Arabidopsis thaliana: one gene and its partner. The main gene of each other region encodes a partner of the protein of the gene in region 2 in a complex. Each region holds a gene or a part of one and is shown on either strand. Other genes may lie near its edges.

Evidence for each region. Proteins that work in one complex are often made in the same cells at the same time.
Region 1: AT4G32915 (region 2) and AT3G25660 share a complex: the UniProt entries of both Arabidopsis thaliana proteins name them as parts of the heterotrimeric GatCAB amidotransferase (AdT) complex.

Annotation. Positions count from the first base shown.
Region 1 is NC_003074.8:9,338,823-9,344,071, forward strand, and holds AT3G25660 (Amidase family protein), read right to left. Parts: upstream 3,402-5,249; 5' UTR 3,223-3,401; coding exon 2,695-3,222; intron 2,487-2,694; coding exon 2,175-2,486; intron 2,086-2,174; coding exon 1,906-2,085; intron 1,823-1,905; coding exon 1,728-1,822; intron 1,643-1,727; coding exon 1,567-1,642; intron 1,490-1,566; coding exon 1,412-1,489; intron 1,324-1,411; coding exon 1,180-1,323; intron 1,099-1,179; coding exon 985-1,098; intron 905-984; coding exon 818-904; 3' UTR 520-817; downstream 1-519. UniProt on the Arabidopsis thaliana protein: Allows the formation of correctly charged Gln-tRNA(Gln) through the transamidation of misacylated Glu-tRNA(Gln) in chloroplasts and mitochondria. The reaction takes place in the presence of glutamine and ATP through an activated gamma-phospho-Glu-tRNA(Gln).
Region 2 is NC_003075.7:15,883,893-15,887,586, reverse strand, and holds AT4G32915 (glutamyl-tRNA(Gln) amidotransferase subunit C), read right to left. Parts: upstream 2,068-3,694; 5' UTR 2,039-2,067; coding exon 1,796-2,038; intron 1,714-1,795; coding exon 1,673-1,713; intron 1,571-1,672; coding exon 1,515-1,570; intron 1,183-1,514; coding exon 1,131-1,182; intron 1,035-1,130; coding exon 959-1,034; 3' UTR 950-958; intron 846-949; 3' UTR 543-845; downstream 1-542. Other genes in the region: AT4G32910 (nuclear pore complex Nup85-like protein), read right to left, coding at 2,377-2,574, 2,656-2,712, 2,786-2,873, 2,968-3,038, 3,144-3,290, 3,391-3,447, 3,560-3,661. UniProt on the Arabidopsis thaliana protein: Allows the formation of correctly charged Gln-tRNA(Gln) through the transamidation of misacylated Glu-tRNA(Gln) in chloroplasts and mitochondria. The reaction takes place in the presence of glutamine and ATP through an activated gamma-phospho-Glu-tRNA(Gln).

The DNA of each region.
Region 1 (5,249 bases), on a different chromosome or scaffold from region 2:
AAAATCTCTTTTCATAGGTTAATGTGTTTATATATTCATGTGACAACTTTCACGGAGTAGACGTAAATGTCAAACCATGCACACGCATGATCCGTTGGATTTTGATCGTCCACTGGAGACAGATATTCGTCTGGACCACTAGATTTCTGAGATTTTAATATGTTTGCATAATTATAGGTAATAACATATGATTTCTTCAGAATTATTCTAGAAATTTTAAAGTAGTCTATACTTATACTCTAGCACCAGAGTTTCATTTTATAAAATGCCAATAATCTATTTGAAACGTGTAATGCTTTTGACCATTTATTAAGATTTGTGTTGGTACTAGTGGACAAATTTTAAGTTTACTTACTCAAGATTTATAACAAAATATACAAATTTAAATATTGTGTTAATCAATCATGATACAACCATAATTAATAATAATCATGTGCATGAATGCAATGGCAAGGACTTCTTTTCAGTTGATACAATTTTTTAGTTTATTTACTCAAGATTTATAACAAAATATACATATTTAAAAATTGTGTTAATCAATCATGATACTCAACAATAATCAAGTGCATGAATGCAATGGCAAGGGCCAAGGACCAATAAATCAAAAACGAATAAAAGAAAAAAACCATCCCCATTTAGGAGTACCAAATAAGAGCATAGAGACCAAGAAGAAGAAGAAGAAAGAATACGTATGTGGCCCATGGGGTGTATCTACATTTATATTATAAAAGAATTGAAGTACAATTACAATTGATAAATCCGTTGCTTAAACCAAGCATGAAATGTAAACGCAAAAAGAGCCTTGGTGGTTACATGGTTAGGCTACATTGGCTAACAATGGAGGAACAAAGCTCGATCCTTTAAGAGTCTGCTCAAATATGTGACCCACTTTCAGCAATTTCTCCTAAAACCAATCAACAAATCATCATGTGAATCTTAATCTAATCTTTTAGAGTAAGCAAAGAGACAGAGTTTATAACAAACCTCATCAAACGCTGCTCCGATCATTTGAAGACCAACAGGAAGACCCGAGGGACCACCTTCGACTAATCCACAAGGTAATACCATTGCAGGAAGTCCGGCAAGATTCACATTGACCTGCAACAAACCTCATATGATACAAACTATGTTTCGTGTAACAACGATTAAATAGAGAAAGAAACTACGAAAGATTTTTACCGTCATAATGTCTCCAGCATACATTGCCAGTGGATCATCTTTCTTTTCACCAATCTTGTATGCAGCAGATGGAGCTGCCGGAGAAATAAGGATATCGTTCTGTTCTAACGCTGCTTTGAAGTCTTTTCGAATTAGTGTCCTCACCTGTATTAACAACCAAACAAAAAGAGCATACATTTATCTATCAAAACAGGTTCTATTTCTATTGACTGCATTTGAAGATGCGGCTTACCTGTTGAGCTCGCTTGTAGTAAGCATCGTAGTAACCCGCAGAAAGTGCATATGTCCCCATTAAAATTCTCATTTTCACCTTGAAATCAAAATTGTCATTGATTATAATCAAGCATTTGTTGATTAAATCAGATGGAGTAAATTCTGAAATCATACCTCTCCTCCAAATCCTTCTCCACGGGAACATTCATACAGCTTATTGAGTTCTTCAGCCATAACTTGATTACCATATCTTCATTTCCAATACAAGAAACAATATCATTTTCTATATCCATGATGCACTCATATTGTGAGTCAAGTCATAATACCGAGATTACCTGACACCATCATAACGTGATAAATTCGAAGATGACTCCGATGAGGCAATAACGTAGTAAGCTGGTAGTCCAAGAGAGAATGAAGGAAGGGAGACCTGTAAATTTTGGCAACAAATCTCAGAATTTTTACACAAAAACGAAAAAGAAAAACTGAGACAAAGGGAAAAGTGAAAATAACCTCTGTCAATATACAACCCAATGCTTCTAAGTGAGACGCAGCTTCCTGAGTAGCAGATCTCACTCCAGAATCAACACCGTCTTCAAGTGTCTCGCGAATTATACCAACTTTCACTCCATTCAATGGTTTAGACTCAAAATGATCCACAGATAGAAACTGAGACTGGAACTCAGGCACATCCTGAACAAAGAGAAATATGTTTCTGTTTTCAAAGAAAACATCTTTCGTTCATTACAATGCAGGAAACCAACTACAACAAGAGACCTTACTTGTTTGCTACTCGTGGAGTCAAACCTATCATACCCCGAAATAGCATGAAGAAGCATCCCAGCATCAGCAACCGTAGACCCAAAACACCCAATCACATCCAACGAAGACGCATAAGCCATAAGCCCAAACCTAGAAACACGCCCATAAGTCGGCTTAAGACCTACAACACCACAAAACGAAGCTGGCTGTCTCACACTTCCACCAGTATCACTACCAAGTGACACCATACACTGCCTTGCTGCAACAGCTGCTGCTGATCCTCCCGATGAACCTCCCGGTACACGACTCAAATCCCACGGATTCGCAGTTACCTTTAAACCAAAACCAAACCCCAAGATTCAATCCCTATACCATCACAAGCTCCCCAATAAGACCATAAATAAAGGCTCCAACTTTATTAACATTGCTGAATCATTCAATCCTAAACCATCATCACAAGTCTCCCTAACAAAACCATATTCATCTATCTAAACATGCTCCAAATTTATTAACAATCATCACAAGATTCATAAGACAAACCTGAAAAGCAGAAGCTTCAGTGGTACTTCCCATTCCAAACTCATCCATATTAGTCTTACCAACAACAATCCCACCCAACTCTTTAATCTTCTTAACCGCCGTCGCATCGAACGGTGGACGATAATGCTCTAAGATTCTCGAAGCAGCAGTAGAAGGCATACCTTGAGTACATATATTATCCTTAACGCCGATCAAAACTCCGGCGAGAGGACCCAATTCCTCACCTTTAGCGATTCGTTGATCAATCTCTTGAGCATCTTTGAGAACATTCTCCGATACGTGAAGGAAGCATTTGAGCTGAGGTTCAGTGAGACGGATACGAGAAAGGTAAGATTTTGCGATTTCGACAGCTGTGGTTTCGCCGGAGAGGAGTGAACGACGAGTGGTGAGAATTTGAGATTGTGGTGGAGAGATAACGGAAGTGTCGATGGTCTTCGAAGAAGCTGCGGAGACGATGGTTTTAGATATTTGGAACCGGCGTAGAGGGAGGAGTGATAGAGAACGCGGCGGTTGCAATGTCGATAACATTGCTTGAAGTTTCGAATTTGAATCACTGAATCATCAAATTGGGAAGATAGTGAGTTTAAACTGAAATTGGGTAGTAGAGTAATAAGACAAAGAAGGATGAATTCTCCGGTGTAACGCCGGCGAAAATGTTTCGGCGACTGTTCGAGGAAGGAGAGAAATCATCAGGATAAGACTTTTTTCAGTGTTCAAAACATGGAGAGAAGATTTATTAGTGGGCCGAAATTAAATGGGTAATAAAGCCCAATACAATTTTTTCTTATCGTTAAAGCCCAATAAAAGTTAAGGCGGCGATGGTGTAGACTGTAGAACGAGTTATGAATAGTTACGACTTACGATTATCTATTATGTTATATGTATGTTCCCAAAATTGTATTTAACGTAACGATAATTATATATATTTTATGTTAAGCTTAAAACAGTTGACAATGAGAAGGTCTTTAGAAATTAGGTAACATTGGTAAAAATATACATTCAAGTATTTCCGCTGTAAAATCTTTACCATGCTTTTGAGTTTTAATCGAACTAGCCAATCAATGTTATTCGTATGACGTAAAAATTGAAAAATATGACGAACTTATGTCATTGGTTATTTGTGCTTTCCCTTGTTGACATGTATTAGTCATTCATTATACATGTTTTAAGGATATGACACTAAACAAAAGAGCTCGATATAATTTGTAAGTAAATAGAGTAAAGTATTTACTCCATCCAACAAAATCAATCAAATCAAGACGATAAAAGTGTCAAAAACTTGTACGGAAATTAATAATTACATTAACTGTATATAAATTACTTTACGGTAAAAAAGTGAAAAAAGAGCCAGGAAATAAGGACTGCAGGAACATTCAACTCTTGGCCAGAGGGTTGAGTTAATAAATTGTTCAAGAAAACCAAACTCATTACTAACTTTACTATTTAATCCGTACGGCTCATTGAAACTTGCAAGAATCATTTATTAAATATCATCATTGTTTTCAATTCCAAGAACATCTCATTGGATTTAACTGATTAAAAGGAAAATATAAATTTCTTTTTAATTTTGATTCACAAATCACAAGCTTGTGGATAAGATAGTAAGAAAAGATGAAATGGAAAAAAAGATCGTAAGAACGTATTTAACAATGAAAATACTTTATTCTCCATTGAAATTTTTAAGAATGATACGATAGACATAAATTGTAATTTTCAATAATTATATAAATAATCAAAAGTTTGAAAAAATGTTAGAAATATTATGTTATTCCTATTGAAACATAGAGGAAAAAGAGTGTTTTGGGAAATAGACTTTCTCAGTATTTAACTCAACAAGTCCGTAAAATATTACTAATGGGAATAAAAAACTTGTTAAACATAATTCAGACACGAATTCGACATCTTTTTCGTCTAATTCAATATCTAATGTCGCTAAAATCTTTTACATAAAACCAAAACTTGTTGCAGCCGAGTTATAAAACAAGAAAAACAATTATTTTTGCTTTTGTCTTAGTAAATACTGAGAAAAAGTACAGAAGCCGTCACCTATGAACAACTAATAATGACTTGTGGAGTTATGGAGACAGAGCCTATGAAAGCAACAAAAGAAAGAGAGAAAAAAATAGCTATAAATGATCGTAAAAAGCTAACTGCAAACTAAGAAAAAACAAAGTAAATAGTAAAAGAAGATTTTTTCAGTCTATACTAAAAACCCCTAACTGTCTCATCTTTAATTGAACATCAATATCTACTTTTAAAATTCACCAAAAAAAATATTGAAAAAATAAAAGAGTCATTAAATTCTGTATATGAAGTCAGAAAATTCCAGGCAGTACAAGGCTTTGTTTGGTTTGGTTTGTATTGTCTGTTTGAAACCAATGACAGAGCCTGAGACACCAAAGTTAGCTATCTTTGGATATATGCTTAAATGCTTTGCATGTTTATTTAAAGCATTTCACATTTATAGTCAAAACCAAATGTTTGAACCTAAACCTATACTATTGTCTATAGAGTTTAGTTTATACATTATACGATTAAAATGTCAATTTAGGATC
Region 2 (3,694 bases):
ACTTCTTTCTCAAATAAGGCCTTCCATTTCTACAAGCTTTCTCTTCTTCTCTCTCAAATGTAAGTTTTTTTTTTTTTTTTTTTGATCAGTTAGGAAACTCAGAAAATGCTGCAATTTCCCGTAGTATCACTCTGGCATTACTTTAATTTTGTGAAAGAAAAAACAAAAATTGAAACAATGGGGTAATAGAGAAAAGACGCAAACTGTTTGTAACAGTGAAATTCTCCTCACGCGCTGATTTTTTGCATATTTGGAAAATTAGATGATTTGGCTGACTATATAGACCACGGAAATTGAAATAAATTTAGCGAGTTATTAGCACGCGCTCTCATTGCCAGTGGTAATATTTTTCACAGATCTGGAATTAATTACTATCTGCGTTTCGCTGACTTTTAAGTGTGCTTGGACTTTGGGCTTAGGGCCCATTTATAATTCAATCTTATTGGTTCGGTGTTCAACAAATACTTAAAAAACTATTCGGGGGGCAACATAATACAAAAGAAAGACATTTGGAATTACTAATGATATGAATTTGAATGGTGTAGAGCAATAGGTCAGTCCGAGTTCATAACGGATCGAGCTTAAAAAAACGCAAAGGATTCAAAATAGGCTGGGATCAAAACGGCCCATCACAGACACTATTCAAAATTGGTTTGAGTTTAGTTTCATATGCACACAAGGTTGTGGTGAGTTGTGAACAAAATGTTGTAGAATAATAGCCTACGTGAGACTTAACAATTTTGAGGCAATTTTGTTTTCTGCTAACCAATTTTAGAAAACATAGAGATGCTGGAACAAGAACCGGATCTGAGAATGAATCTCTTCAGCCAAACAATTCCAAGAAGCTGCACATGAAAGACACATACACCCAAAAAAAAAAAAATCAATGGGCAGGTCTTAGATCATAATCAGGAAACTATGATTGCTCATCTATGGATAAGAAGAGTACCTGAAAAAGTCACTCTTTGTTTAGTATTTTAGGGACTTTTAGATATGCGTCCTCAAAGCTTGGAATGGAAGCTCTTATACTGTCCCTGTTAGAGGAATATCAAAACTCTTAAGTTTAATAGATGGCTTTCATCTTAAAGCCGGTATCATTGCAGATGAAGAAAATTGTGTAAAGATCAAACCTGTTGTCAAATGTTTCTGGAGCATCCTCTCGCAAATTTCCACCATCCATTTCTACAAGTTTTTTGAGATTTATAAAGGCATCAAGATATTGAAATAAGCATGATTTCCAAAACGGATCAAGATTGATAATTAGACCTCTTACTAGTATAAAACCATATTGCCTAGTCAGAGAATGTGCTTAGACTAGACACTAGAAAGACTTATACAGTCTCCAATCTGTATCACATGACATGAGTCTCTCTACTTGAAACAGAACAAACAAATCTTACTTACAAACTAGTTTTACCAATGATTTCAGAAACCAATTTATAAGATCAAAAATACAGTAGACCAAATAAAAGAAGAACGTTGAGTAATAATTGATAAAAGTTTATGATTCTAACCTGCTCTAATAGCTGGCTCCACACTGTTAACATCAACTTGTTGAAGCTGCCCAAACCTGCATTTCTCAGCAATCCAACAACACATTGATTCTTTCTCTTTTGGTTCAATGACATAAACATGGAAGCCAATTTCGTGCAGAAAGAGGTAGATTAGTTACCAGTCGATGACTCGACGAATTTTAGTTTCACATTCCTCTATCTAAAAAAGAAAAGGATCAATGGACGAAGAAGCGGAACTCAACTGGACAAAGTAGATTCGATAAAAGAGAAAAAGCGAGTACCTCCGCCGGAGTTAGAGAGATTCGAGCTGTCTGAGCAAGACGGGCCACATCCGGCGGCTGAAGAACGGAGGAATCCGAGTCAGACGAGTAACTTCGAGCTATTCTGTGGTTTTTTCTACTCTGTCTTTGGTAATAATGACTTGAAGAAGAACAAGTTAAAGATTGGATTTTGATCCTGCTCGGAGAGATGTAGCAGCGATTCGGAGACGCATATATAACGGCGAGCAAAGCTCTGGTCGCCATGGCTAATTTCTCTCTCGACTCCTGTGAATGAATAGATAGAATTGACCAGCTTCATAACAAACATTTCTAAAACGACACAGCCTGTGTCGTTTTCTCCAAGGACTAACTAAACCGGTTTTAACCGGTCCACTTACAATAATCGAATTTTGTTTTTCAGTTTTCAGTCAGAACACCTCTCTTTTCTGCTTTACTTTTGCAATCAGCTTACAAACTAGTGAAAGATGGAAACTGGAGTGCTATCAGTCTATTTTGATATGGAAAAATACAGACTAAATGTAGTACGAAACCCATACACACAAATAGATATCGAGCTATGGATTTATTAGCCTCAACCCGCGCTAACATTCTTCGAGAAAAGCACGTCCGAGATTTGTTGCTAGAGCAAGTCTCACTGAACCCACAGCTTGAGCAGACAACTCAGATTCTATGAAGCCTGGTCTTAACCTTGCTATTGATAGCTCTTGTAATTTGTTCAACATCAGGTTGGTCTGTGTTACATTCAACAGCGAACGTTCGGGCCAATTCAACAGCTTCAACTGCACAAACAAATACTCTTTTAGTGGTGCATTCTCGTAGTTGGAAAATAAAAGGAAAGAAAACAAGATTTGGTTATCTACTGAATCATGCAGAAGAGGAAGCCAGAAGCGTTGAGGAGTAGAAGGGCTCTTCATTAGCTGCAGTAATTCAAATAGCATTAATTCACAATATTCAGTGGAGAAAAATGTGTAAGAAAGATGTACTACACACCGATACAAGTCTCTCTACGGCTTCATGAGCTGCATCTATAGTTTTTCCATCATGGACTACCTTCAGCGATCTCTTGAAATCTCTATACCTGGAATGTATGGCATCAATAATCAATTAATAATGTAGGGTAGATTTTTACAAAAACAAGTCATTTTCATAGAGAGTAAGAGATGACAAATTACTTGTGAAGAAAATCGAGACCACCAGAGATCTGTGATTCCGAACCCAGCAACTCGACTAGGCCTTCCCATTGCTGCATGTATGAAATGAAACAACGTCATCTAGGGCACAGATAGAAGAACCCACAGTGAAATTATATACTGAAATTTGCTTTGAGTATGTCTTAGAGAATATATACCTTGAGACTTTCATCAGACAATGATTTTCCAACAGAATCAAACAGCTGTTGAGCAATCACGCTGAGACAATTTTCGTCCCGAGCTTGCTGGAGCCAGAAAATCCCTGAGCCTTTCCTCCCATGTTTCCAATGATGCACTCCAGAAATCTGAAAACCATAACTTCAGATTAAATCTGTTTTTCCTTTTTCCGCCCAATTTGGAGATTAGAGAATACAAGCGTAAAATAGTGCCTCAATATATCAATACCTTCATTAGTTTAGCACTGACATTACTGAGTTCATAGAGACGGCAAATCTCTAGGCTCTGCAACAGGAGAAACATAAGTACCAGGTGAAGGCTTCTGACAAGATCCTAGAATTGTAAACGACAAACCAGAACTAGAATTGATGTACAAATGCAACTGAAATAATGAAACCTTAATAAGCATCTGATTCTCTTGAACAGGCTGCCTGTAGAACAACAGCTCTAATAAGCCTAATCCCTGTTTCTCGCACGATGCTAGATAAATAGGAGCTATCTGCAAATTTCAAACACAATATGGAAGAGTTTG